Arabidopsis thaliana: one gene and its partners. The protein of the gene in region 1 binds, or shares a complex with, the protein of each later gene. Each region holds a gene or a part of one and is shown on either strand. Other genes may lie near its edges.

Evidence for each region.
Region 2: TIF3H1 (region 1) and EIF3K share a complex: the UniProt entries of both Arabidopsis thaliana proteins name them as parts of the eukaryotic translation initiation factor 3 (eIF-3) complex.
Region 3: TIF3H1 (region 1) and AT4G20980 share a complex: the UniProt entries of both Arabidopsis thaliana proteins name them as parts of the eukaryotic translation initiation factor 3 (eIF-3) complex.

Annotation. Positions count from the first base shown.
Region 1 is NC_003070.9:3,603,698-3,614,458, forward strand, and holds TIF3H1 (translation initiation factor 3 subunit H1), read right to left. Parts: upstream 6,920-10,761; 5' UTR 6,603-6,919; coding exon 6,593-6,602; exon of another isoform or gene 6,477-6,592; coding exon 6,397-6,476; intron 6,231-6,396; coding exon 6,114-6,230; intron 6,015-6,113; coding exon 5,911-6,014; intron 5,825-5,910; coding exon 5,758-5,824; intron 5,485-5,757; coding exon 5,351-5,484; intron 5,266-5,350; coding exon 5,217-5,265; intron 5,081-5,216; coding exon 5,009-5,080; intron 4,919-5,008; coding exon 4,817-4,918; intron 4,732-4,816; coding exon 4,664-4,731; intron 4,479-4,663; coding exon 4,326-4,478; intron 4,246-4,325; coding exon 4,188-4,245; 3' UTR 3,934-4,187; downstream 1-3,933. Other genes in the region: AT1G10820 (hypothetical protein (DUF3755)), read right to left, coding at 225-324, 739-953; Z-ISO (15-cis-zeta-carotene isomerase), read right to left, coding at 2,039-2,374, 2,804-3,013, 3,118-3,264, 3,342-3,752; AT1G10850 (Leucine-rich repeat protein kinase family protein), read left to right, coding at 8,531-9,860, 9,985-10,646. UniProt on the Arabidopsis thaliana protein: Component of the eukaryotic translation initiation factor 3 (eIF-3) complex, which is involved in protein synthesis of a specialized repertoire of mRNAs and, together with other initiation factors, stimulates binding of mRNA and methionyl-tRNAi to the 40S ribosome.
Region 2 is NC_003075.7:16,037,494-16,042,652, forward strand, and holds EIF3K (eukaryotic translation initiation factor 3K), read right to left. Parts: upstream 3,316-5,159; 5' UTR 3,125-3,315; coding exon 3,011-3,124; intron 2,921-3,010; coding exon 2,864-2,920; intron 2,771-2,863; coding exon 2,657-2,770; intron 2,427-2,656; coding exon 2,376-2,426; intron 2,295-2,375; coding exon 2,228-2,294; intron 2,034-2,227; coding exon 1,951-2,033; intron 1,768-1,950; coding exon 1,573-1,767; 3' UTR 1,158-1,572; downstream 1-1,157. Other genes in the region: CDC20.2 (Transducin family protein / WD-40 repeat family protein), read right to left, coding at 3,740-3,883, 3,977-4,558, 4,639-4,908, 5,011-5,159. UniProt on the Arabidopsis thaliana protein: Component of the eukaryotic translation initiation factor 3 (eIF-3) complex, which is involved in protein synthesis of a specialized repertoire of mRNAs and, together with other initiation factors, stimulates binding of mRNA and methionyl-tRNAi to the 40S ribosome.
Region 3 is NC_003075.7:11,212,046-11,222,908, reverse strand, and holds AT4G20980 (Eukaryotic translation initiation factor 3 subunit 7 (eIF-3)), read right to left. Parts: upstream 6,029-10,863; 5' UTR 5,913-6,028; coding exon 4,137-5,912; 3' UTR 4,122-4,136; exon of another isoform or gene 3,841-4,121; 3' UTR 3,731-3,840; exon of another isoform or gene 3,529-3,730; intron 3,342-3,528; 3' UTR 3,271-3,341; downstream 1-3,270. Other genes in the region: ACA6 (alpha carbonic anhydrase 6), read right to left, coding at 1-184, 287-380; ACA4 (alpha carbonic anhydrase 4), read right to left, coding at 1,783-1,857, 1,940-1,993, 2,114-2,272, 2,358-2,460, 2,545-2,651, 2,735-2,949, 3,047-3,137; AT4G20970 (basic helix-loop-helix (bHLH) DNA-binding superfamily protein), read right to left, coding at 6,697-6,771, 7,054-7,419, 7,519-7,650; PyrD (Cytidine/deoxycytidylate deaminase family protein), read right to left, coding at 9,379-9,991, 10,069-10,367, 10,464-10,832. UniProt on the Arabidopsis thaliana protein: mRNA cap-binding component of the eukaryotic translation initiation factor 3 (eIF-3) complex, which is involved in protein synthesis of a specialized repertoire of mRNAs and, together with other initiation factors, stimulates binding of mRNA and methionyl-tRNAi to the 40S ribosome.

The DNA of each region.
Region 1 (10,761 bases):
TTTAGCATATGCTTTTAACAGTGACAGAAATATCCTTCAACAAAAATCCTTCCATAACAGCCACATACCACTTGAAAAGGAATGCTAGAGACAACTAAGTAATTCCCTAGCAAAAGAAATATCCTTGAGAGACGTCTAGAGTGGTAATTTTTCTTGTCATCTAAGCAAAAGCACATAAACAACAGGAAGTATGCACATAGCTCAAGGAAGCTTAACCAACTTACCGTCATCCATCTACACCTCAATGCTACATCCCTTACAGTTTTATCCGGTAGAGTTGCAGCGATCTTTACATACTTTGAAATTTTGGGTTCATCTTTTAATCTACAAACGGAAAAAAAATAAAGATGTCATAAATGCAAACAAATAGAACAAACAAGCTACAGACTCTAGAAAACCAAAGTAACCAGGAACAACCTCAGCTAGAAAATCGATAACTTAACCCGAACTTACTAATGGTCCCAGTCCCAGAAAACAATGTCATGGAACACACAAAGGCGATACTTTTATAATCAGAAGGAACAAAGGAACATACTTTAATAGTCCACCATTGAGAATATAATGTTCCCACTACTACTTTTCTGATAAAACAATTCCCGATTTCAACTTTTATGTATTGTTATTGTAAAAATATAAGCATAGTTTGAAAAGCTACGAATGAACAAAGACACATTTAGGATATTAAAAAAATAAGAAATGGAAATATCCAAAGAATTAAGCAGAAACGAAGATACCTACTTTGCAAGGCCGTTCTCCAAAACATACTGTTCCTCAACGGACCAATCCATAACCAAAGCAGCTTCTTGTTTGACTCCTGCAGCCACTGAACCCGAAGCATCCACAGCTGGGTGAAAACCGGAGGAAGCGTTAATCGCATTAACACCGTAATTGGTCGGGAATACAAGACCGGTGGTGCTAGTACTTGGCAAGCAGTGATTATCCATTGGAATCATTCGTGGAGATTTGATAATTGAAGCTGATTTGAGCTACGATGATGCCCCCAAAGATATCAAATTTAGGGTTTTAGCAAATCCAGAAACAAATAAATGAAACAAAACACAGCTGAAAGAATAAAAAGATGAGAAACCCACCTCAGATTTGGCATCAACAAAGAAGATAGAGTAAAACTTTAATCAGGGGCAGTGATGGTAATTAGGGATGTGACCGACAAGAGAGAACGCAAGCAAACACCTCCGAGCAGTAGAACTGAAGATTATAAAGGATGTGATGTGAGAAGAAGATCGATCAGAGAGTGGCAGCTAATTGCGAACTCCAATGGGAGAAAATCGAGAGAGAGAGAGAGAGAAAGAATGAAAGAGAGAGTGTGTTTGTTTAGTAGTAATTGGCTGTGTTGTTTGTTTCTTGCAGAACCTCTTTGTTGTATTCATACTCCTTTGCTTTCTTTTCTTTTGGCCTCTTTTTTTTTTTTTTTTTTTTTTTTTGCCTCCAATTCCTTTTTTTCCATATTCTTCTTGGTAATAAAATTTTTATAACTAGCGAATTAAAATTGTATTGTTAATTTTTAATTTTAGTTAACAATTAATCACTTGCCTTTAAGTTTATCTTTAGAGTTTAGAGATATCAAGGCATCAATATGTAGATATCAATCTAGATTTGGATGGAGATCTTGGCATATTATTAATATTAGTTAAAATTTAGATTCATTTTCCGATTGTAACTAAACATCGAAAAAAGAAAAATTTACTTCTATTAGTATAGTGGTAGGCGTCAGAGTGACCCATGACATCTGAGTGGGAATTTATATACAAAATAGTTTTACCTAAATATTCATTTAGCAGTACTATTAAACATTCCTAGTTAATACTAATCTAAACCCACTTGTTGGATCGAACTCACACATAGTGGTTACAGAGTGTTGAGCCAAAATAATCGAGAAATGAAGAAGAGTCAAGTATCACAAACAATATGGCTTTTTGTATACATTTGTTCCTTAACAAGTCTTTATGAACACTGCAGGAAACAAACAAACATAAATGACATATAATTTACCAATGAAGCCTAAAGCATGACATATAATTTACCAATGAAGCCTAAAGCTTGCACCTTGCATTAGCGGGTGAGCAAAATATGCCCCAACCGTTAACGCAGTGATTGCAAGATATGGCAACCTGACAAATTCTTTGTAGTAATCCTCAGGTAAAACTTGCCGTCCTTCGAAAATGGCAGCAAATGGAATCACACTTGTTCTCTTCTTGATGCTTTCAAAATCCTCTCCATATCTTTTTGCCAATCTCCTGTCTCCATTCCACGCCCCAAACAAATGGTGTGCAATCAAACCGAGAGAAGCTGATGCAGCTACTGTGTTTCCGATCCAGAGAGTATGTGCTAAACACCAAACGATTTGTCCAACCATCTGGAGAAGATCAGAGGAGAGAGGTGCAACAATCAAGTCTCATTAACAAAGCCAGTATAATGAAGAGAGAATAGAACAAACCAAAACTGAAGCTAAAATGCCTATCTTTCTATATATTATCAAGTTTTTCCAAACACATGATGAAGCAATTGGATAAGAATTTTAAGATCAAAAGCAATATCAAGTAAAGTAATCAAGCATTGATGTAATAAACATAGAAGGATGAGGAGATTTGATTGTGCTGATGTAATGGGTGTATTTAAGTCAATGGCCAATACCTGCCCATAATTGATTCAATGATTGGGGGTCTCATTAACACAGCCACTAATAAACCTTGGCTCATAAAAATCCAATCTTTCTGTATTTTTGAAACACAAAAATGAAGGAAATTGTCTTCATGTTTAGGCACATTAGGGAAATGTTCAAAACCTGAGGATGTCGAGTGATTCTCATGATGCCGGTCTCCCAGAGATGCATCTTCGGTTTGTCAACAGCTGCTACCTCCAGAAGATTGAAGGTTGAAGGATAGAGAAAGAAGAAGGATACAAAATTAGCGACCCAAATAGCTTCATGGACTCCAGGAACACCCTGAAGCTGCCATAACTGTGACCCATCATATCTATGGTTTATAAAGTAAACCTGAAAGAAGAACAAGGCATTGCATAGACCATAAGAGACATCAAACAGGTATTTATACCATTGATCAGGAGAAAAATTGCAGAGTTAGAAGAGAGAGTACTCACAATGGTGCTCATAGCTAAAGGAAGAGAGATTCCAGCAAACAAAACACGAAATGCTCGTTCACCTATAAGTTTCTCTCCTATATCCCTTAGACTAGCTAAACCACTATGTACAATTGCAAATATAAGGATAAGCATTAACATAGCAACCTGCAAAAACAAGTGGTTTTTAACAATCAAATAACTGAAATTGAAACTGGTTCAGTTACTGTTAAATTGATCTATACCTCCGGTGAGCCGGAGATGTTAGAGACGGCGTCGATGAATGATTTTCCGAAACCGGTGGAATTATCGATCCAAACAACATTGAGGATAAAGAGAACAACTCCAAGGACAACACCGAAATAAACCCAGGAAACAAGCTTCTGTTTCCCTAATTCAAAAGCAGCAGAATCTTCACCGATCAGTAGAGTAGGACTACTCTCGGAGTCAGAGGCGATGGGTTGGTCTTCCCGGAGAGTGCTACGAACCAGAATTTTCCGAATTACCGGTGACGAAGAAGAAAGCAAGCTGGTCGAGTTTCCGAGGCGAGGATGAGCTGGGATACGGCGGATTAAGGTGAGGTTAGGGCGGCGAGGAGAAGGAGGGAGAAGAAGAAGCGAAGGTGGGCTCGAGAGAAGGAGATGATAAACCGCCATTGTTCTTGTTGGTAAACAATCTTTCGAAGAGGAAGTAATAAAAAGATGTCGTTTTTAAATTTCTTCAAACAATCGTCCGAAGAAGAAATAATAAACGTTGTCGTTCAAGGGATTTAGCGATGGAACTAACACTACAACTATAATAAAATCTCTATAAATTAGATTTTTTACTCTTTTGATTAGGATTTTGATAACTATGTATAATTTGTTGTAAGGCAATCAGAGGTCCAATACAAGATAAATCTTTCAAAACTTCAATAATTTTTCATTATGCATAAGAATAAAGATTTTTTTTGAAAAGCTTGTAAATTAAATTACTTCACAACAACAAAAATAAAAACAAAAACATCCACGAAAAACAAATATAGGATCCATTCTACCACCAAGTCTTTCACTTTCTGACTCAAAAAACAAAAACTTGGGTAGTCTTTGCAATCAGTTGTCGTGCAATGCTTTGGTCAGGTAAAGCCTGCTGAAGTTCTGGCCAGCCACTCTGCATAACAACAGGTCGACTCATTTTAAGTATCTTTCAAAGCTCCAAAAATGGTGAAACAATACTAAAGAGGAACATACCCATTGATTTGGCCACAGAAGTTTGAGACTTGGTTTGTGATGAGGAAACTCTCTAGCCTAGATGGTTCAGGGATCGCCTTAAAGATTGGGTTTGAAGGATCCTCTTCTGGTAAAGGCTCCTCTCCAGCTGATTTACGAGCCATGTTCTCCGTTCTATAAACCAAACACCTCTTTCATTAGTTGGAAGATCAAAAGGACAAGGAAAAGCTGAAGACAAATGTTACAAGGCATTCACAACTCTCGTAAGTAAAGTTGTATCACCTTCCAAGATAACGAGGTAGTGAAACTAATCAAACCTGAACTAGAACAAAAAGGTTCTGCAGAAAATATAAACCTACCTTCTCTTCTGGAGCCAGGCTTGCTGTTGTGCTTGCTGACGAGACAGGTTCCGGTAGTAATACTGGAACTGGAGAAATAAATTAAGATTTTGCGTTAAGATAGTTCGGACTTCTGATGATGAGAATTGAACAAGAGTGCAGAAGAAACCACACCTTTTGCTGTTCCATAGATAAATCATCCATGCATTTAATCAAAAACTCCATATTGTTCTCAAGGAAAGGAGTGGTTGATGAGTGTAGACGATCATAATCGCCCTAGAAAGGCGAAAATACAGAAGTATCAAGAGTCAAAATCTGCAATGCTGACAGCAAGCAAGGATCACTATCCAGATAGTAGTATTGTACCTGTGAGACAGGTGTATCAGTCTCCAGTTCGGTCATAAAGGCACTGACAAGGGCAGAATTTGAAACCTTGATCTGTCAAAGGAAAAGTAACAAACATTTAAACCACTTTTTTTGTCAGAGGAAAATATAATTAGGTAACAATTCCAACCTAGTGACTTGAAAAGATTAGCTGGTAAGAATTCAATATAGAAGAAAGCTAGAGACTTACAGGTATTTCCTCAAAAATATCCATCCAGGAGAAATTTTTCTCTCTCAACCTGAAAAAGATAGTGATTAAAACGTTACAACTATCATCCTAAGTGGCTCATAAAACCTAGATTTTCAATGGATCAAGATACATACTTCTCGCCAGTAAAGTTTCCACCTCGGTACAACTCCATAAAGGAATCTGAAAGCTTCAAAGCCTTCAAAGCTAAGACGCCTAGATCAGCTTTAGAGGGATCATATATGATGCACACACACCTCTTGATATTCTCCTGTAGATGCAGAAGAATCATTTCTTAAGAGTTCATATCATGATTCTGCAAGGGATTGTAACAGAGTTGCGGACAAAAAAAGTCTCAGAAAATATATTCATGATCCAATTTACATTCAACTTTTACACATGCCAATATACCTATCATACACTAGAGTAGCCATGCTATACATATAAATTTCCAGCTGAATGAAGAGCATAACATATGAACAGACCAAATCTAGAATGTTATAATGACATGGTAGACAGGATTCTTTAACAAAAAAAAAAGTACCTGGTAATTCATGAAGGTCTCAATCAGTTCCACAGTCTGATACGAACCAAGAACTGTAGATTGATACCTGAACAAAGAATTAGGCAGATCTAAATACATTCACAAGAAAAAATTTAACAAGTGAACTCAGACTGATGTCATTAAAAAACCTACCAGCCAACAGTGTTGTTGTCAACATTAACCTCCCTCAGACATCTCATCATCTCAAGCTGATAATTAGCACCATCAGCTTCAATTTCTTCATCATCATCCCTGACCTGTCCTCGTTTAAGATACAAATTCCAGTAAATCACATGTACATCAATCATGAACAAGCTCTTAAATCCTCACAATGCGTGTAAAATTCATCAACATACCGGGAAAGGAAAACAATTGGTAACTTCGAGGACGCTACCAACATCAAGTCCAAGAAGCTGTCCAGTGACAAGGGTCGGTGAAAACTCCTTGCAGTGTTTGATTATCTTTAGTACAGCCTATCACAATAGCAAACAAAATTCTCAGCATCACAACTTCCTACCAAATGATAATGGGCAAATTAGCTTCACCTAGAGAGTTTTTATTTATCAAACACCATCGGTCAGCAGAAAACGAGGAAAAACACTTAAAACCGTAAAATCAGGGAACACTAAGAAACGTTACCAGTCCTTCGATCTGAACAACTCTAAGCGGAGGAGCCACCGCCTCATCCTTCGATATCGCCTGCAGAAACGACCTAGCCACTGCAGAAATAAACCACGGAAGAAACTTAGCACGACATATACAGAAATCGTCAATAAACAGATGCAAATATTAATTCTATGTCCTAGTGAAGAACAGAGAGGATGATTATACTGACTGGTTGCCATTGAAATAGTCTCCGGTGATAGTGAAAGCTTCCTAGGTCAAAGAACTTGAATCTCCGCCGTGAAACCCTAACGATGTGATATTTTTACTGCCGGCGGCGGAGATGAGTAAGAGAAAGAACTTTATGTGTTTGATAGGGCTTCTCGAGGATCCGCAGATTTTTTTTTCCCTTCAATTTGGGTGTAGAGAGGAAAAAAAAAAAGCGTTTCGCAGTTAAAATTGCAAAAGAGCCCTAAAATTTGAGATTCTTATAGAATGATCCCTAAATGTTTTCCGACCTATAATAAGGATGGACCCAGCCCATGGACCTATAATGCTATTCTCTTGTAAAAGGCCAGGACCATAATATTCCTCAAAATATTGAACATTTAATTTAATAGCATGGGCCCATTACACTAACCAACTAGTCAAAACTTAGTAAGAAAAAACAAACAGTCATGGAGTCAACTAGAATCCAAAACTTTTAGAAACTTTCCCTCCAAATTCCATCCGGTATTAGGGTTTAATCGAAAAAGAGGACTAATTCAAAGTCTAATCTTTAGTAACCAACTTTAAAAAGTCTATAAGACATGGTCATTTCATAAGTCCGTAAGAAAATCAACAATGTCCTAAATAAACGGCAAAAACTAGAGAATCACCACTGGTATCAAAAAACGTAAAACCAAATATATAAAACGTATTAAATGTACTATAGTTTATTACTCGAAAGTCGAAAACCTTGATGATTCATTGAAGGTCAAAGAAGTCAACAATAATATTGATGCCAAATTAAATGACTGCAGTCTCTTTGCGAGGTTGGTGTTTGGACTGGTGGACCGCTGGTTAATAATTAACTCAGCCTTTACGTGAACTCAATTCTCACCTCTTCTTTATTACATTTTCATCACGCTTAAGCTAAGCAACTAATAAATTCCTAATTTAATAAACACTTCAACATCCTCGTTTTAGAGATTGAATACCAACCATGAATGTTAACACATCTTTAACTTTCCTCTCAAACAAAAATCCAACAATCTATATCCTCATTGTATAAATAACATGAGGTCCATATTAAAATACGATTAAAAATATTATAAAAACCATGTGAAGATTCAACAAGAAAAAGAGGTAGGAAAAAAAAGCAGCTCAATAATTGGTAGAGAGTGCAAAGAGGAACCAGACACCAACTGAATAAAATTGAAAAACAATGTCTCTCCTTACTTTAAATAAATCATCCCTAAAATTAATTATTCCCACCATATTTCTTCTGCTCCATACCACACTTCACCATAAAATCTCTATATAAATTTTCTCAGCAGCAGTAACTACCTTGGCCCCAAAACCTATCTGTCTCTGAATCTTGGCAAAGTAATAGCAACCATAACAATAACGACAAAAATATACGTGAATTATTTTTCTCTTTCTCCTTCGTCTCTCCTTCATAAACCCATTATTAATTTTTTTTATAATACTACTATTATTCATGAATGCATTGAAGATGTCACAGTGAGAACAAAAAAAAAGTTTTCCAGGCATGGCTTCACGTGATGACATCTTCCTCGACCAAGAACTTCGAGAAAAGATACTCAGAAAGTGAAGTGAGAGAGAGAGAAAATGCCGGGGAATTTTAATGCTTCTTCTTCTCTTCTTAGTGCTCACTACCAGAAGATTTCTTTCCGCCATTAAAGAGCAGAGTAGAGCAGAGCTCTCACTTTCTTCTTCTTCTTCTTCATTTTTTACCTTTCCCTTTTTTGCTTCGATCGAGATGCTTTAGCATAATGGGGCAGATCTGGAAAGTGACTTAATAATAGAAAGTGATGGCTTTGAGGAGATTCATGGGATGCTTTTTATGGAAACTCGATTTCGAACTGTATCAATCATTTCTGTTTCTTTTATGAGCTGAGGAAAAGAGCCACTCTTTCTGATTTGATTGATTCATCATTCATCGACAATGGCTTCTTCTTCTTCTTCTTCGTCTTCGAGTACGGTGTCGTTCGTAGTCTTTGCATTTACAGTCTTCTTCTGTTTGGTTACTCCGGCGAGATCTAGCGACGTCGAAGCTTTACTAAGCTTGAAATCTTCAATCGATCCATCTAATTCGATTTCTTGGAGAGGAACAGATCTCTGCAACTGGCAAGGTGTTAGAGAATGTATGAATGGAAGAGTCTCCAAGCTTGTTCTTGAGTACTTGAATCTCACCGGCTCACTTAACGAGAAGAGTTTGAACCAGTTGGATCAACTTAGGGTTCTTAGTTTCAAAGCTAACTCTCTCTCCGGTTCAATCCCTAACCTCTCCGGTTTGGTTAACCTCAAATCGGTTTATCTTAACGATAACAACTTCTCCGGCGACTTCCCGGAGTCTCTCACGTCTCTTCACCGATTGAAAACTATTTTCCTCTCCGGAAACAGACTGTCCGGTCGAATCCCTAGCTCGTTGCTTCGTCTCTCTCGTCTTTACACGCTCAATGTTGAGGACAATCTCTTCACTGGTTCGATTCCTCCTCTTAACCAGACAAGTCTCAGATACTTCAATGTATCCAACAATAAGCTCTCTGGTCAAATTCCACTGACACGAGCTTTGAAGCAGTTTGATGAGTCATCGTTTACCGGAAACGTCGCTCTTTGCGGCGATCAGATTGGAAGTCCATGCGGAATCTCACCTGCGCCGTCTGCGAAACCAACGCCTATACCTAAGTCTAAGAAGAGCAAAGCGAAGCTGATCGGGATTATCGCCGGAAGCGTTGCCGGCGGAGTACTAGTCCTTATCTTGCTATTGACGTTGCTTATCGTCTGCTGGCGACGGAAGCGGCGGAACCAGGCACCGAGGGAAGATAGAAAAGGTAAAGGAATAGCGGAAGCAGAAGGAGCAACAACTGCAGAGACAGAGAGAGACATTGAGAGGAAAGACAGAGGATTCTCATGGGAAAGAGGCGAAGAAGGTGCAGTGGGAACTCTGGTTTTCCTTGGAACCAGTGATTCAGGCGAGACGGTAGTGAGATACACCATGGAAGATCTGCTAAAAGCTTCGGCAGAGACATTGGGAAGAGGAACGTTGGGGAGCACGTACAAGGCTGTGATGGAGTCTGGGTTCATTGTCACTGTGAAGAGGCTCAAGAACGCAAGGTATCCTCGCATGGAGGAGTTCAAGAGACATGTTGAGATCCTTGGACAGCTCAAACACCCAAATCTGGTGCCTCTCAGAGCCTATTTTCAAGCCAAGGAAGAACGCTTGCTCGTCTACGATTACTTCCCTAATGGCAGTCTCTTTACTCTTATTCACGGTATGTACCTTAGCTTCTTTCAAGGTTCCTGTTTTATATAGCAATGCAGAGATTTGATGGGTTGAATCGAAACTTGGATACATTAGCCAGCTTCATTGTGTTTTATGTGTGTGTTTGTCTGTAGGAACTAGGGCTTCTGGAAGTGGGAAGCCTCTTCACTGGACTTCATGCCTGAAAATAGCTGAGGACTTGGCCTCAGCTCTGCTCTACATACATCAGAATCCTGGCTTGACTCATGGGAATTTGAAATCGTCCAATGTCTTGTTAGGTCCTGATTTTGAGTCCTGCCTCACGGATTACGGCCTCAGCACTCTCCATGACCCTGACTCAGTTGAAGAAACAAGCGCAGTGTCTCTCTTTTACAAAGCTCCAGAGTGCAGAGACCCACGGAAAGCCTCTACACAGCCCGCTGATGTGTATAGCTTTGGGGTTCTTCTTCTCGAGCTTCTAACAGGTAGAACACCATTCCAGGACCTTGTTCAAGAATATGGGTCAGATATCTCAAGATGGGTGCGTGCAGTGAGAGAGGAAGAGACTGAATCAGGTGAGGAACCGACTTCTTCAGGCAACGAAGCATCAGAGGAGAAACTTCAGGCACTTTTAAGTATCGCAACGGTTTGTGTGACCATTCAACCCGATAACCGGCCTGTGATGAGAGAGGTGTTGAAGATGGTGAGGGATGCAAGGGCTGAAGCACCATTCTCGTCTAACAGTAGCGAACATTCGCCCGGGAGATGGTCGGATACCGTTCAGAGCTTGCCAAGGGATGATCAAGTGAGCATTTAGAGAAATTGGGTGGGCCTTCTTCATTGCTTTCATAGAATGACACGTGTGATTCTTGAAGTAGGGTTCATAGTGTAAAGCTTCTTTTTTATTTTGTAACGCCATTTTGATTCATCGA
Region 2 (5,159 bases), on another chromosome or scaffold:
GGGTCACTCTCAAACTTCAAAATCCAGAATTTATGCTTGATTCAAGATCAAAAGATCTCAAATTTCAATCTTCCAAGCTCGAATTCTTCTGTTGTGACCCCAGAAAACGAGCAACTCTCGCTGTCAGGAAACTCCAAATGCGAAAACTAACACGAGCAAGAAACGAATTTTTTAATAGAAAACAAAATAAGAAACAAAAATTAAACACGGAAACTCTAGAAAATTTGTTTAAAAACAGAAGGCACCAAATTTCTTCTGGATAAGATTTGAAATCAATTTCCAAAAGGGAACCAATTAACCATAATCTCAAAGAAAAGTGCCAAGCTGAGAACATAGAAAGGGGAAAACAGTTTTCCTCAATTTCTCTCAGATTAATACCCAACAAAGAAAGAAAAAAAAGCCACCTTTGAAATTGAAGAAATACAAGAGAGAGACGGTAAGAAGATTTACATAAACGAAGATTTGCAGTTTCTTTTTTGGTGCTCGTCTGGCTTTCTTTTGTTTTTCCTGTCTCTCCCGTTTTTATGTTCACGACTTGTCTGTCTGATCGTTTGCCTTTGTTTATTTCACTTTTTATTCACGTATTTATCACCCTTCTTTATATCCTCCACGTATCTTAATTAAATCTAACTTGTTCACTTCAATCACATATTGTATCTTCATTAGTCTTCATTATGTCGACTAAATAAAATAGAAAAAACAAATCATTAGGTTCATGATTGTCAAAAAAACAATTATAAATAAAACACCGTTCATTGTTGTCGATCAAATTGAAAATTTATATATTATATTCATAAAATTCAATTATTTATTCTGTTAAGCAATTCAAAAAAGTCTCATATATGTACAAAATTACAAAACTAGTTACATCAAAATCAAAAGTTATGATCTTGGGAATAACCTAGTTGTTAGTAGAATAATAGTATTGTTTTAAGCAATCATCTTAGATACGAGATGATCTAACTAATTATAGTTTAATCAGTCAAATTTATCACATAGGGAGCAGTCAAAATATGCATGGGAAAAGAGAAAATTGTGCACGTGACATGATTTGGTGTCAACATGTGAGCTTCCAAATGGATGGCTGTCAATCTTCGTATGTGATCTGTGTAGAGAGGACGACAAGACATAGACAGTCTCTTTGTATTTCAAACTTTCTCAATACAAATTTGCCGTGTCAGTTTCTATATTCCAAGAAACCTAAACAAAAGTTTTTTTTTTCCTTTGCTTTTTAAAGAAGACAATTGTTTGGGTTGTCTGAAGATTCGTTTAGTTTATTTAGATGTAATGAAGTAAACAGAAGATAATCAATCAGAAACGAGCCAATTCCAACACTTGTTGAGAAACCAGTATTGGAATCCATGGAAGGTAAAAAAAAAGGTAAGAAGCAGAGCTCAGACTATGAAGATCTACTAATTATGGCAAAGTCTCGGTCTACTAGATTTTTAAGAAAATCTGTCAAATTGCAAAGAGGAAGGCCATTGCCAAAATTCACATTACGGTGTCTTAAAAGTGTACATCACAAGATAACAAGAGACAAAAGGAAAATTTGCAGTGTTCTCATGAATTGGTTCAACCAAGGATGGGGAAGATGCGGGCAATGTGTTCCAAGGGAACATTCTCACCTGTATTTTTCTTGAGCTCCGGATGGTTAAATTCATTTTGTGGTAAGACAATACTTCCACCCTCTTTCTCAACAATCCATCCACTGTTAGTCACTTGCTGCTCGATGAATTTGTCTAGAGATGCACCATCCATGTTAACAGCCTGTGAAAATTGTCATTTATTGACAAATAAAAGGTCAACAAATTAGATTTCCAGAACTATGATGTGGAATATTCGTAACAGAAAATTATATGAGAAAGTAAAAGATTTCACATCCGAAGTTCTACTATTTTGATGACTTAAGCTATCCGTGGTGAAAACGAGATCATAAACCAAACATCATACCTCAGCCAGCACTGATCTTGGAACCTTTTGGTAGCTTAAGCTAAGAAGGTGACTTGCATATGCTTGAATAGCTTGCTCAAAACCTGCATTTAATCTCTCGCATATAAGACATCTACACTAGACACAATCATAAAATGAATAGACAGTACCATAAACCACTACTGAGGACTTTGTTCGTACCATAAGACATCTACACACAAATATCCTTAAGTAACAAATCTACATCTAGAAATTTGTTATTAGTAGACGATTTATTTATGATTCAGAAGTTAGTTACCTGGAACAGCCTCGAGAATGTGACGGTTCTTGGCAGCTTCATCCCAGAACTGTTGGAACCTCCCAGTCTGCAAAAGAAAAACAAGTGCTTTAAATACTCAATGCACACCTTTTCAACTCTCAACTAACTAATACTGATGTTTGCGTACCTCAAGGTAGTGTGATAGAACAATTAGTGACTTGAACTGCTCCTCCATTTGCTGAAACACACAATCCAAACAAGTACATTTATTAGTCCTCAAGAATCCAACACATTGAAACTCACACTTTATCATGAATGCTCAGTACACAGACTGAACTGACAGAAATAACTTGGAATGGCATAATAACTTGAGTCAGAAACATTTGAACAATCGTTTCTTCTGTATCTACGATAAGCTATATATGTAAGAAAGCAAAACATTGTGAAGTTAAGAGGAAAGAAGAATACCACTCTTTCGGGAATCAAGAAGAGGCAAAGGCTGAAGTCTGGAGTTGGCATAGCCATAAGAGCCTTGACCAAGATTCGAGCCACGATATGAGTGTTCATGCGCTCAGGCTCAAACTGCATAAAAGCAACAATACCAATTAACGAAAAGAGACACTAAAACTCTTGAATTTGGTATCAAAAGGTCCAGCTTAAGAACAACTAGAGCACCTGATAGAGCCGAAGCAAGCATAGGTTTACTTCCAGACTATACGTTTGCGATGTAACCTGAAAATCATAACGAAACCAACAACAATCAATGGAACACGATTTCTACAACAGAATCCGGCTTGAGAGAAAAGGGAAAGGAAACTGCACGTTAACGTAGTTTTCGAGATCAGGCAGGATTTCAGGGTTGAAAGGATTAAGGGCGACGAGCTGCTCAACGGTGTAAGAGCTCTGTTCCTGCGGCGATTGGATCTCTACTCCCATCTCTGCCTCTTTCTCCTTCTCCGTTTCTGTCCCTTTTGCGTCGGTCTCTTCGAACTTTGATAGATCACTGAGGAATGTGCAGAGGAGATTCGCTGATAAGACGAATCTAGGGTTTAAAAGCCAAAACGACAAAGCTTTGTCGTTTGGGCTAATGGTGCAATTGACAAAACGTTTGGGTTAAATTAGGATGACAGAGAAACTACAAAGGGTTGTTTAGTAAATAACTATTTTTAAGCCATTTTGATGCCACAGACTCGGTAAATAAATATTTTCTCAGTTTGCTTTTAAAGATTGATACTACACTAGAGTTTGCATTCGATTAACCATGGTCCAAAAGTTCACCAGTGAACATCTTTTCAAACAAAACTGTCAGCATCTACGAGTTCTCTGATCACAACTTCATGAAGTCTCACTTTGTTTCCAGTAGAATAATAAATGTGGATATCCTTCAAGAGTATAAAATCATAATCTTTCTTTTTTCAAATTTCAATATATACAAGTAATCTTTATATTCACGAAGAATGAATCCTTTGGTAATAAAATAAAAATAAAAATATATAGTTTCTTTTTGTAACAATCAATGGGTTTTCCTTGTTGTTTTAGTCTTCAACAGCTTCATCGAATACGATTCACATGAGAAAATGGCTCGGCAACTGCTTTTGGTGCAGCTTTTTTTGCAGTCTCTGGTACTCCAAAAACGTTCCAAAACCTCAGGGTCTCGTCTCCTGCTGCTGAAGCTACAGTACAACCATCTGGACTCTGTAGAAAACACAACAAACAACACAAGTTTAAGGACTGAATGACCTCAAAGACTCAAACTACTTCACCACTTAAAGAAATTGATGACGTTACCTGGGCCATATATAGAACTCTTGATGTATGACCAGTGAGCTCAGCCATTTTCACCATGGATGGGTACTTCCAAAGTGTAAGCTGATTCTGTGTAAACCCATGTGAGCTAAGCAACTCTCTTTCATTCTTGCTCCATAACAACGAACAAACTTGGGAACCAGTGTCTACTGAATTCAAGCAAGCCCCAGTGTGAGTATTCCAGAACTTTATCGTCCTGTCTCCTCCACCACCACCAGTTGCAAGCAAATTCGCTTGGAAAGGGCACCACGCAAGAGCCTTCACAGCAGATGTATGTTCCTCAAGCCTGTGCAGCCATTGTGTGGTTGAGTTTGAGGAAGCGACAGAACGATCCCAGATGTGTACCACATTGTCGTTGCCACCACTTGCTAGTTGTTGTCCAGATCCTGACCACTTGAGCCCACAAACTTCTTGAGTGTGACCTCTGTAAGTTTCCACAATGGGTGATCTGATCCTCACATCATTGTTGATGATCAGTCCATCCATTCCTCCAGTAGTAAGGATATGATTGTTCCATGCCAGTGATCCTACTCTTGACTGGTGACCACCCTTTAATGTTCTCAGCTGCAGAAATATGAGAAACACATCAGACTAAGAACACCGGATATTATATCTCAACATAAAAGAGAGAGAGTAGTAATTACTTGACGGTTGGATGCAGAATCCCACAGCTGGACTTCAGAGTTGTTGAGTCCAACTGCAACATGACGACCATCAGGAGCCCAGTTGATACTTGTGACAGGTCCCTTCTCCTCATCAATGGTCACAAGCTCAGATGTAGAACCAGTGGAAGCATCCCACAAGTAGACAGTGTGGTCCAACGCTATGGCTAAGACATTTGCACTTCCCCAGTCCAGCAAGTTGAGGTAGAAATCGTCAACAATGTCAGGTGCATCCAAGGTTCTCTCAGAAGTCTGTTAATCACAACAGAAAGTTTAGCAACAGATCAATACAACTCTAATGCAGCAACCAGTAAGTGAGCTTTAAGGATCAAACGCAATAAATACAGTACATACCTGAGGAATGTATCGACGAGGCTTTACAGATTTGGGTTGTTGGTGAAGAGAAGCAGAGTGATTGCTCGGAAGCAGTTCGACAGGAGCCTGAGGTTTGTTTCTGAAGGCGAGAATCCTTGTGTGGTTCAAGTTCATGGTCTCAGCCAATT
Region 3 (10,863 bases), on another chromosome or scaffold:
GCCGAAGCTGGTTTGTAATGTTTACTCAAGGCTTGATCATGAATAAGACTGACTCTTTCGTCAGTGAGATCAATCGGAGATTGAATTTTTCCGGTGCTACAAACTTTCCATTGAGGGTCTAATTTGCCCCATTCCGCTGGTCCTTTCTCTGTTTTTTGTTTGTATGTAAATAGCGGTTTGTTGCCTGCTTTCAAATTAAATTAGCAAAATCATACACATAAACATAAATTTTGATACCAAAAGATGAATTTTATTAGAATAAAACAGAGATGTATAGTGATCATACCGATTTCACGAGCATAAACGAATAAAATATTAGGGGAAAATAAATCGATGAAGAACACTACAAAAAATAAAATTGTTTTTGTGTTGGCATCCATTTTTTTTTTCTTTCAGATTTGATTTTGCTTAATGTTCTTGAGTATGTTTTGGACATGGAAAGGGGTTTGGTATTTAACCTATTTAAAAGGAGGCTTTAGGGGAAGGTTTGTTTAATGTTCTTTTATGACTTTAGCAGTTGCTACGGTTATTAGTTAATCATTTGTTGTAGTATTTGATTTTATTGGAAAATAGAAACTTTCAGTGACAAAATTTAAAACAGTTCATTTTTTCTTCTAATTTGGGCTTCTATAGTAGCTAATGTGAAATGTGATAATTTAACAGAGAAGAAAACCGTTAATCCCATTCAGAAAGATTCTGTTGAACGACCCGAACCAAAAAAGACTAGTATTCAGAACTTATTTTTTTTGTTTGTTTGTTTGGATTTACTAAAAATTACATTAAAGTCAAACAAAGAGATATTATTTTAAATCTCTTGTGTAAGAGAATAAGAGATACGTTAAATCTATACATTGTTGTTTTTTTTTTTATACATATGTAATGTCTAATTTTCATGCTTCCATTCCATAGACTGAATTTCTTTCATTTTCATAGAAAAATAATAACAAGAAACTTGATACATAAGTGACGAAAAAAACATAAAGTTACTGAAATCCTAAACAACAAAATGTAAAATATAGGCTCTTTTAAGTTGGCCTCTTCCTCTATATGGTTTTACGTTCGGCAATTCTCTTGCTTCTTTGGTTCATATTGCGATTCTGATTGCTTATTTCAGGGGTTTCACCTTCATTCGACTGTATAATCTTCCTTGTTTTTGATACTCTATTATTGTTCATTATGGATCGACTTTGTTTTCTACCGTATCGAATGAGAGATGAGTAAAACCAAGACAAATTGCTACCAAAGCTTCTTTTGTGTAAACATTTTTGTCACGTGGTTATCGTATTAGGGACTAGTATAGATTCTTCGATATGGATTGGCTTGATGATATAATTGTCAAAAAAAAAAAACATTTGTGAAAGAAAGTGATATTAATCGAATGTATTAATCCTCTTGATGGAATACATTAATTGTATTGAATACATCAGGAAATGAAAAGGTTTTGAAGGAACATATGACTCCTTCTCACTTTTTTTTGTTTTGACCATACATATTTATGTTTATTTGTTGTTTCAAGTTTTTATACTGCTTGATTAGAGTTGGATTTAGTAGCTAACACTGCTTGCCTAGCTTTTATAGGACATACTGTTTTAGCAACGTTGATGTAATCAGGCGTGTTTTTTTTTTTCCGATGATGATTATTATAGTGGAATACTAATGGTATATTAAAAAAAAATACTCATCAATTGTTTTCTTTATTAAAGTTTGAAAAAAATCTCAAATATTACAAAATGATAATTTTGTTAAAAGGGTATAAATTACAAAATAATAGAAGTAAATATATCAAACATTTGGATCATAGAACCAAACTGATCTTCCCTTTGAGTCTTGAACCGGTCTTGAATTTGTCTCAAATCCCTATTGATCAGTCAACTAACTAAATTAGTAATAAAATCAATATTAGCTAATGAAACTACATTAGCAAATTTCGACTACTTACATCGTCAACGGCTTGCCTAAGAGCTGTAATTTGCTCCATTGATATTGTGTTCACCTACATATACCGACGTAAAAAAAATTACTGATGTATTTTGCAATTTGAATATTGAAAAAAATGAATATGTAATGCATAAAGAAGAAAATTACTATAAAAACGAAACAAAAATATAAATACCCTTTTGACGACAGTCCAAATGACGCCTTCAGTGCAAGGAGGAACAGTGAGAGAGCCAATGTATCTATAGAATTTTCTTGTTTGAAACCTAATCTCTCGTGGATCAATCATCCCTAGATTTATCTCTTTATTTCCCACTGCTTTTATTCCATTTAGTAGCTGCATTTTTTTTATAAATTTGAAAATAACAAATCAATAACAAACTCTATAAATACAATGTTTAACAATAATCTAAATATGATACCTTGGTGAGGAATTCATTAGGTTCGCCTAATTTGTAAAGAACTCCGATAACCGCAGTTCTGCCTCGTGCACTCGTGTGAACCATGTGAAGCTCTAGGTCGTACCTGTAATAATGCCAAATATCGTGTAAATACCACTTAATATGGGTCTATAGTTGAAAATGCTCATTAAAAATGAAAACAACAAACCTAGTTCCGTTAACGGTATGCTCAGAAGGTGAATGCCAATGGCATTGCACCAAATTAAAATCCGTTTTCCGTATTGTCATCTTCCCAGCATCTCCTTTCCATGATACCTTTAAGATTTCAAATGATTAGTGTTGTAATAATAATATAGTTAAGTGAGAATAACTGAATTCTATAATAAAGTTTTACGTACCATAATGTCATGGCCTCTGTTTGTAATTACAGCCGGAGCTGGTTTATATTGTCTTGTCCATGCTTGATCATGAATAAGACTGACTCTTTCGTTAGTAAGATCGATCGGGGATTGATATCTTCCGGTGTTACAAACTTTCCAGTGCGGATTTATTTTGCCCCATCCCTCTGGTCCCTTTTCCGTTTTTTGTTCGTAAGTAAATGGAGTTTCGTCGTCTGTTTTCAGATTAAAGTTAATAACAAATCATTAAATCTGAATTTTGATACAAAAGATTAATTTTACTAGAATGCAATAGAGATGTAGTAATCATACCGACTTCAGAATGAGCGTGTGAAATATTAGGGAAAGATAGATAGATGAAACACATAGCCATGAAGAAAATTGTTTTTGCGTTGGTATCCATGTTTCTCTTCTTTCGAGATTAGATTTTGCTTAATGGAGTATGTTATTATGTTTTGGAGATTGAAGGGTTTAGAGACAACCTATTTAAGAGGAGGCTTTTGGGGGATGTTTGTTCTGCTGTTCTGATATGGTTTTTGCCGTTGCTACGATTATTAGTTAATAATCTGATGTTACTATTGGAAACATGAAAAAAAAAAAAAAAAAACTGAATGCTTAGTAAAAACCATTTTGGTTGAGTTTTCTAATTTGGGGTTTATAATAATAAATATATGTGAAGTATGTCGGTTTAACAGAGATTAAAACCGACCAGGACAATAGGATCTATGTCAGTTTAACAGAGATAAAAACCGACCAGGACAATAGGATCAAGCTCATAAGAGAATACGCCAAACGACCGAAACAAACAAAAGTTGGAACCATAAAATACCAAATTTTATAAAACTAATGCAAAATGATTCAAGAAAATTTGGTGGCTATAAGAGTCATAGTAAAAAGATTTCTGTTCTGTAAACAATCCGTAATGATTTTCCAAAAGATGTCACGAAGATAGTGTTCTACAATCTCATTTCTGACTTAAAATTACAGCAGTACCACAAAAATTTGAAAAAGGACAAGATAATTAAAAAAGGAACCTCCATTGTTGTTGTTTGATTGAAGCTTCAACTCTCAAAAGAACCCAGAAACGAAAGGTGTAGACTTTGGACCTGAAGAATATAGTATCCAAATTGTGAATGACGATGCTTCATACGACGTTTATACTTATAATAAAGATCATCAATTAATCTAAGTCACCAGTTTCTAAACTATAAGAATGAAATTCAGATGAATAAGAACAAGATTCTATGGCTAAGAAGTAAGAACCAACTTTCTGCATTTTCTTGGGTTCTAAGTATAAATTCACGATCCTAAACAAGTGTTCAATCAAATCCAACAAGCATATTATGGTAACCGCCTTTTGAATTTGAGAGTTGTTTGTATGAACTACCTGACTTTATAACCATCAAGCTTGAGCATCATCAGCTTTCTTCTCCTCGGTTTCTTTAGTTGCAGCTACACTTGCTTCTGCTCCCTCTGTGTTTTCCTCAGTTGGCTGAACCTGTTCATCTTCAGGCAACGGTTCCTCAACGTAATCATTCTCGAAAGCATCAGGTGGAACCTCATAAATCCTCACTTGAGGCTTCGATGGATCCTTCACAAGAACATACTTCCCTTCGCTTAGTTTCATACACAGATCAACTATGGATTTCACAATCCCCCACATGTTAGAAGTGTTGAGATTAATCTGTCCAGCGAAATCCTTCGGCTTATACCCCAAAACAGATAATATAACATGGTTGAAATGATCACGAGGATGAACCCTAGAGACAAAACCAATCTTCATCATATCAGCATTAGCCAATAAAGCTTGTGCAGTCCATTTAGCCAACTTATTTCCATTGTTCTTCAATTCTGTAGCTAAAACCGCACCTCTCTGAGTTTCAAGCTTCTGTCTCCAATCAACACCAGAGTACTTAGGATCAAACTCGTTAAGAGCATTCAAAGTAAGAAACGACCTTTGGTTGTTGAGATCAGCAACACTCTGTAACTCACACCTCGCAACAAGATGCATATTATCATCAAGCTTCCACCTTCTATACCTATAAGCAACAGAAGCAATCTCTTCACCTTCATTAGCAAATGGATTGGCTTCATCAAAAGTTTCCTTCTTTCCATCTCTAACCAAAACCTGCTGCGAAAAGTTCTGATTGATGTAAGCAGCTTCCACACCTAGAGAATGAGCAGAATTGATATCATCTTTAGACTCAGGCAATGGCTCTTGAGATGTCTCATGCACAGACAACAAATCAAGCTGTGATCCATCTCTCTTGTCAAAGAACAGTTTGTTACCAACACGTTGAATAACAATATCCCAAGAGTAAACAGATCTAGGAGCACACATAAGAGCAGCTAATATAGCATCAGTAGCGAAAACAGTAGCTTTGTCTTCCTTAGCTAAACGCCTAATCACAGGATCATCACTAGTAGTGACTTTGAAGAAGTTCCTGTTCTTGAAACGCTCGAGTCTGCGTTCGTTTTTCGGCGTTATGCGATCGAAAAGGCGGTTGTAGTACTCAAGGCCACCACAGAGAAGAAGATCTTCTGGTTCTTGAACTGTGTACGAGAGCTTCGAGAATGTTGAGAAAGGGATCTGCTCAAGCATGTTCCACTCCGGCTGAATATCAACGGATGATTTGAAAGCGGCAGCTTCACGGCGTTGGTGATGGATGTTGTTACGGTTGTTATTGTAGAGACGATCACGACGAGCTCGTTCCTTCTCAGCATCACGCTTCTTAGCTTCAACTTCTTCATCTCGCCGTTGAGGAAGCTGATTCCGATTGTGGTGAGGATTGAAACGCCATTTAGGTCCGAATTTAGGACGCGGCGGAGGTTTACCGTCGACGAGACGGAAAGCTGCGTCTTCGTCGGGATTACCACCGGAGGAAGCGAGACCGAAGCCTTCGTCGATTGCGAAAGCGGAGAAATCGAAAACTGCAGACGGATCTGATTTGGATCCGGTGTTAGGACGAGCGGATGGATTAGAGAGATTGCGAGTCCAATCAGCTACACGGCCGAGCTTATCGGAACGGGAGAAGGAAGCGAAAGGAACGTTCGGGAGAAGATTAGCGGCGGCGACGCTGGTGGGAGAGGCGGAGGAGGAAACGTCGGAAGCGTCTGGAGGTCCCCAGCCATCGGAATTGAAAGGAACGGCGACGAATTCGAAAGCTTCGGTTACCATTTCTGAGAAGATAGTGTTGCAGCTGTGTGTGTGGAAAGCGGAAACCCTAATTCTTTAGTCTACGTTGAAGAGAGAAGGTACAAGAAAAAAACATTTTTGTTAATGTTTGGGCTCATGGGCTTTAGTATTCTTCAAAACCCATATATAACACTTGAAGTCTTAAATCATGTTTTTCATTTCTGACTTTGAGAAAAAAATAAAATAAAATAAAAATTTAGAATTCAAATTCATCAATTTGAAATAGTATAACACATTTTTTTTTGATAAACTCTATTTGCTGATCTGGTCAGCTTCGATAGAAACGCACCAAAGTGCTCCGAAGTAAACTTTTCCCGAAGGACCACAACACTATCTGTCCCGAATTTAAATGTTTTCTAACTAATACCACGGGATATTCAAACTCGGATCTGAGAGTTTCACCTATCACCAAAGTTTCTCCTATCACTAGATTACAAATGCTTGGGCAAGTATAACACATTGAAAAAAGGTGAAGTTATTTCGCTCGTTCATGTATTAATTCTAAGAAACTTTTTTTTTTGGTTTCGTTCTTGAAAATCATCATCCTAAGTTTCATATATTTCACAGCTTTGTTGATACCAAAAAACAAAATATATTTCACAGCTTTAAGTAGAGAAAAGTATATATTATGCTTACAAATGAAACATCACTCTCACAGCACATGATACAATTCAAGAAAAGGAATCTAGCTAACACCAAAAATAATTCAAGAAAAGGAACAAAAACATAGAACTTTTTTTTTTAATAAAGGAACAAGGAATCAATATTAGTGAACACTGTTCACAATCTTCTCCAGTCTTTCAGGAATTTGACTCCTAGCTCCATAATCGTGTTCTTCCACCTATATAAAATATAAATTAAATTTAGTTTACTAACATATGGATATTAATAGGAATCAGCTAGTAGAAACTTAACAATCAGATGGGAACATGCAGCTTCTTAGCGTTTTTGAGTGCAAGTTTTATTAAATATAAAAACAACAAGTATAAATATCATTCCCTAACTTTGAACTCATTCCCAATGTGTATACAAGCTGGATTAGACCTAGTTTTAACATAGTAGTAGTAGCAAAGTTTGATTCTTAAATTCCATTGCAAAAAATGTTTTACTTTCCGAATTATACCTTGCAGTGAAGGGTGTGGAAGACAGCATCATCAACAATGGAGTATCCAGCATGAGTGATCTCAGCTCCTAATTCCTCGGTGAGAACACGAATGATCTCACAAAACATAAACTTGTGTTCCAAGCTTGTCACAAGAAAGATGTGAAAAATGGAACCAGTTTCTTGAATCTCGATTTTTGGCAGCTTTCTTGGCACGGAGACATCGACGCTCGACGAAACCGATGAAGATCCGACGGAATTCAGTTTCTCCAAAGTTGTAGTCGCAACGAGGTTCCTTTTCCTTTCTCTCTTTTTCTCCACGTTCACTTGTAGCTTCTTGATGTAGTTTGCAGCTTCATCTAGCTGATCAGGTAGTGTTAAAGGCTCCTAACATGAAATAATAAAAGAGTTTAGAATATTAAGATCATCACCCATACATGGAATCTTAGATTATATAAGCATATAAGAGGGCCAAGAGGAAGAAACCGTAGAAGAATGATGAGGAAGAAGAGAGATGAGTTCTGAGTAGAGAGACTTCATTTGCATCCTTCTATTTTTCTCAACCGTTTTGCGATCTACAGATCTTGATTGACCTGTGTTTGAATGGCTCGGCTCCATTTCTTTTTTTATTCCTGAATTGTTTCACATAGACCATGATAACAAACTCAATGTTAACCAAGCTTATATAAAGAAGGAGGTTGGTTTAAGTGACATCTGATAATTAGTTTGTGCTAACTATTTACTGGAAAAGGGTTTGTAATATATATGTACCAAAGACTAAAAAAAAAAAAAGCAAAACAAAGTGGAAAAAAGTAAGTTCTTTAAATATATATCTTGACTCGTCGTTATGGTCAATTATATATTTTATGTGTTCATATATAGTTTTTAATGGTTCTGTTAATAGTTTCAAATTGGATTGAGAATCAACGCTAGTTTATAAGGGCATATGTTAAGCTATTTATCTACAATTGACTCAAATAAGAAGCTCGTTAACTCTCACATGATATTAAACCTCTCATTAAGAGTGAAAGATAACCAACATTACTACAAAAGACAAGAATCATCCACATATCGGTAATTGATTTTGCATAGAAAACTCATCATCACGTAGTTTTTTGAACAAATAGTCCAAAGTAAAATCTTTATAAATTAATACTTGATAAACTAATCTATTTCCCGGGTCTCAAATGGATCGTCTTAAATTGTTTCATATCTATCAATTAGTATTTTTTTATTATCATAATTCCAACATTAACTTATAGAATTTCTTTTTGGTAATATTTTGAATTTTGGACCATTACATTGCATATTTTGATCAATAATTTTGACTCTCATATATAGCGTATGTTCGAACTTGAGTTCGATATAAGTTACTCAATTCTCCAATCGGTTGAGTTAATCGTAGTTACAGTCACTTGCTATAGATATTTTTATATTTTATGACATTTGCTTAACAAATTTTTTTCTTTCTGCATTCCGTCATTGGAAAATACTTGTATAAATGCAAAAGGAAGAAGGATAAAAGAAAAAGGTTATGAAGTGGAGAGTGGTGGGGCTGAGTATGGTCAACTTTTTCGCTCAGGCGATTGCGTGGATTTTGTTGAACCACTCGACCATTGTCGACATAAAAGATATCCTCTTAATCTTTTGTTCCATCACCAATTTGTGTACCAACAATAACATTCATACTACAAATTTTCAGATTAATAGTAAATGATTAACTCAATTGAAACAACCATTATAAAGAGAGATGGTGTAACTGTAGAGTAATTTTTTAATACAATAATGCTATGAAACAATAAGAAAGACTAAAATTCATGCTATTGTAAATCTTAAATTTGAAGTTAGGAACTTAGGATTGTTAAATCATAAAGTGATTTAAAATTGACTATTGTATAGTGTTTATTTCGTTCTTTCTTTCGAATATCTCTAGATATATCGGTTTTGACAAAAACAAATCCAACATGGTTGATGTTTGTTGTCAGTTAGTTCACATTTCCACCAAAATCCAAAAAGAATTGTCAAATTTGTAACGCAATCGACATCAACAATCAGTTCTCATTGAATGTACTTCACATTCTATTACACATCCTTAATTTTTTTTATGGGTTTTGGTTTATGAACTCCAATTAAGAAAAAACATCTCATCTTAGGATACCCATCATGTGTAGGCCATAGAAGGTCGAATCAGATTCTCAACATGTGAAAATATTTTCTTTTGAAAATACAACATTTTCTCAAAAATCTGTTATCAATCTATTAATAATAGGATCTGTAAAACCTTAATAATACTATGCTTTAAAAAAGGTAAATATCATGACTTGTATTCATTCATACATGAAAACATCAAAAATAGCCCTCTAGCAAAACGCTTCCACCTAATTGCTTAGACTGCAAATCTTTCACATGCTTTGATTCTAACCACTTCATCGACGCGATCTGTCTCTCATCTTTTGTGCTCCATTCCGGCAAGACCTCAATAATTACTTTCTGCAATAGTTTCTGCTCAAATCCATCTCTCAGAAGAACTTCAAGGTCTTTGACGTTCCCCCTCAAATCTAACAAGACACTGCATAGTCCACGGTTGTAACAATAATCCAAAATGGAATCCAAGTTTATCTTTTCCAATACTACGGTTTCGACCCCGCTACTACTGATTCCGGATTCTGCAACCGATTCCTTTGCGGTGAAAACTACAACTTTTGGACCCGATTCTTCCACAGTGTGGGAAGAAGCAAGGATATGAGACTGTTGTGCATTGCTAGCTACTATGATCTGAATAGGTTGGATCGAAACATTAATAGCTTCTTGTGAAGAAATGCTCGAGAGTTCATCCGATAACGAGGAAGAAAGTATTATCGCATCATATTCCTGCAATAGCTTCGAGTAGTATCCACCACTATCCGAAGCCCCTTGCCCAATCTTGTCTAGCAAACAACCATTGACAGACATAGAATACCTGCAAAGATTTTCAAAACTTAAAAACAATCTATTGACTCGGATTTGTCTCCACTCAAGAGAAGCAATGAACTTTACCTGAGGGCGAGAAAAGGCTTCCCTGTTAACATTCGATGGATGAATCCCTCATTCATCTTCTTGCATAACTCTTCTTCAACACTCACAGTAACATCGATTCCAGCATCTTTCAACCGACTAATACCCGAAGAAAAAACAATTGGATTCGGATCAACCATCCCAATAACAACTCTTCTCACCTTAGCCTTAATCAATGCTTCTGTACACGGCGGTGTTCTTCCGTAATGATTACATGGTTCCAAACTAACATAAGCAGTAGCATTCTCAGCTAACTCTCCAGCATCTCTAAGAGCAAACACCTACCATACCAATGCCAACAACAACAATTCCACAAGCAAGACTTAAAGTTTGCTCATTTTCAGTAACCCAACAAAGAAAGATTGAATTTTTGTTACCTCAGCATGAGGCTGACCAGCTTTGGGATGAAACCCTTGGCCAACAATGTCACCATCTTTGACAATGACACAACCTACCATAGGATTAGGACTTGTACACCCAATTGCTCTTTTTGCTAGCTCCACACACTTTCTCATATAAAACGAATCATCGACTTCAACATCTTCTTCTCTTCTCATGGCAGCCAAAACTGGATTGCTGAAACCAGTCTGAGATTTATGTAATCTTTTGAAGAAACAGTGATTTGGGCTCTGAAGTGAAGTGAGGTTGAAAATGCGGCGAGGATTTGAGGAGAGTGATGGTAAGAGTGGAATTGAGGTTCGAGGAGTGATCGAAGGAATCGAAATTGGGAGACATGAGATCTGCATATCACTATTGAATCTTGTTCTTCACTAAAAT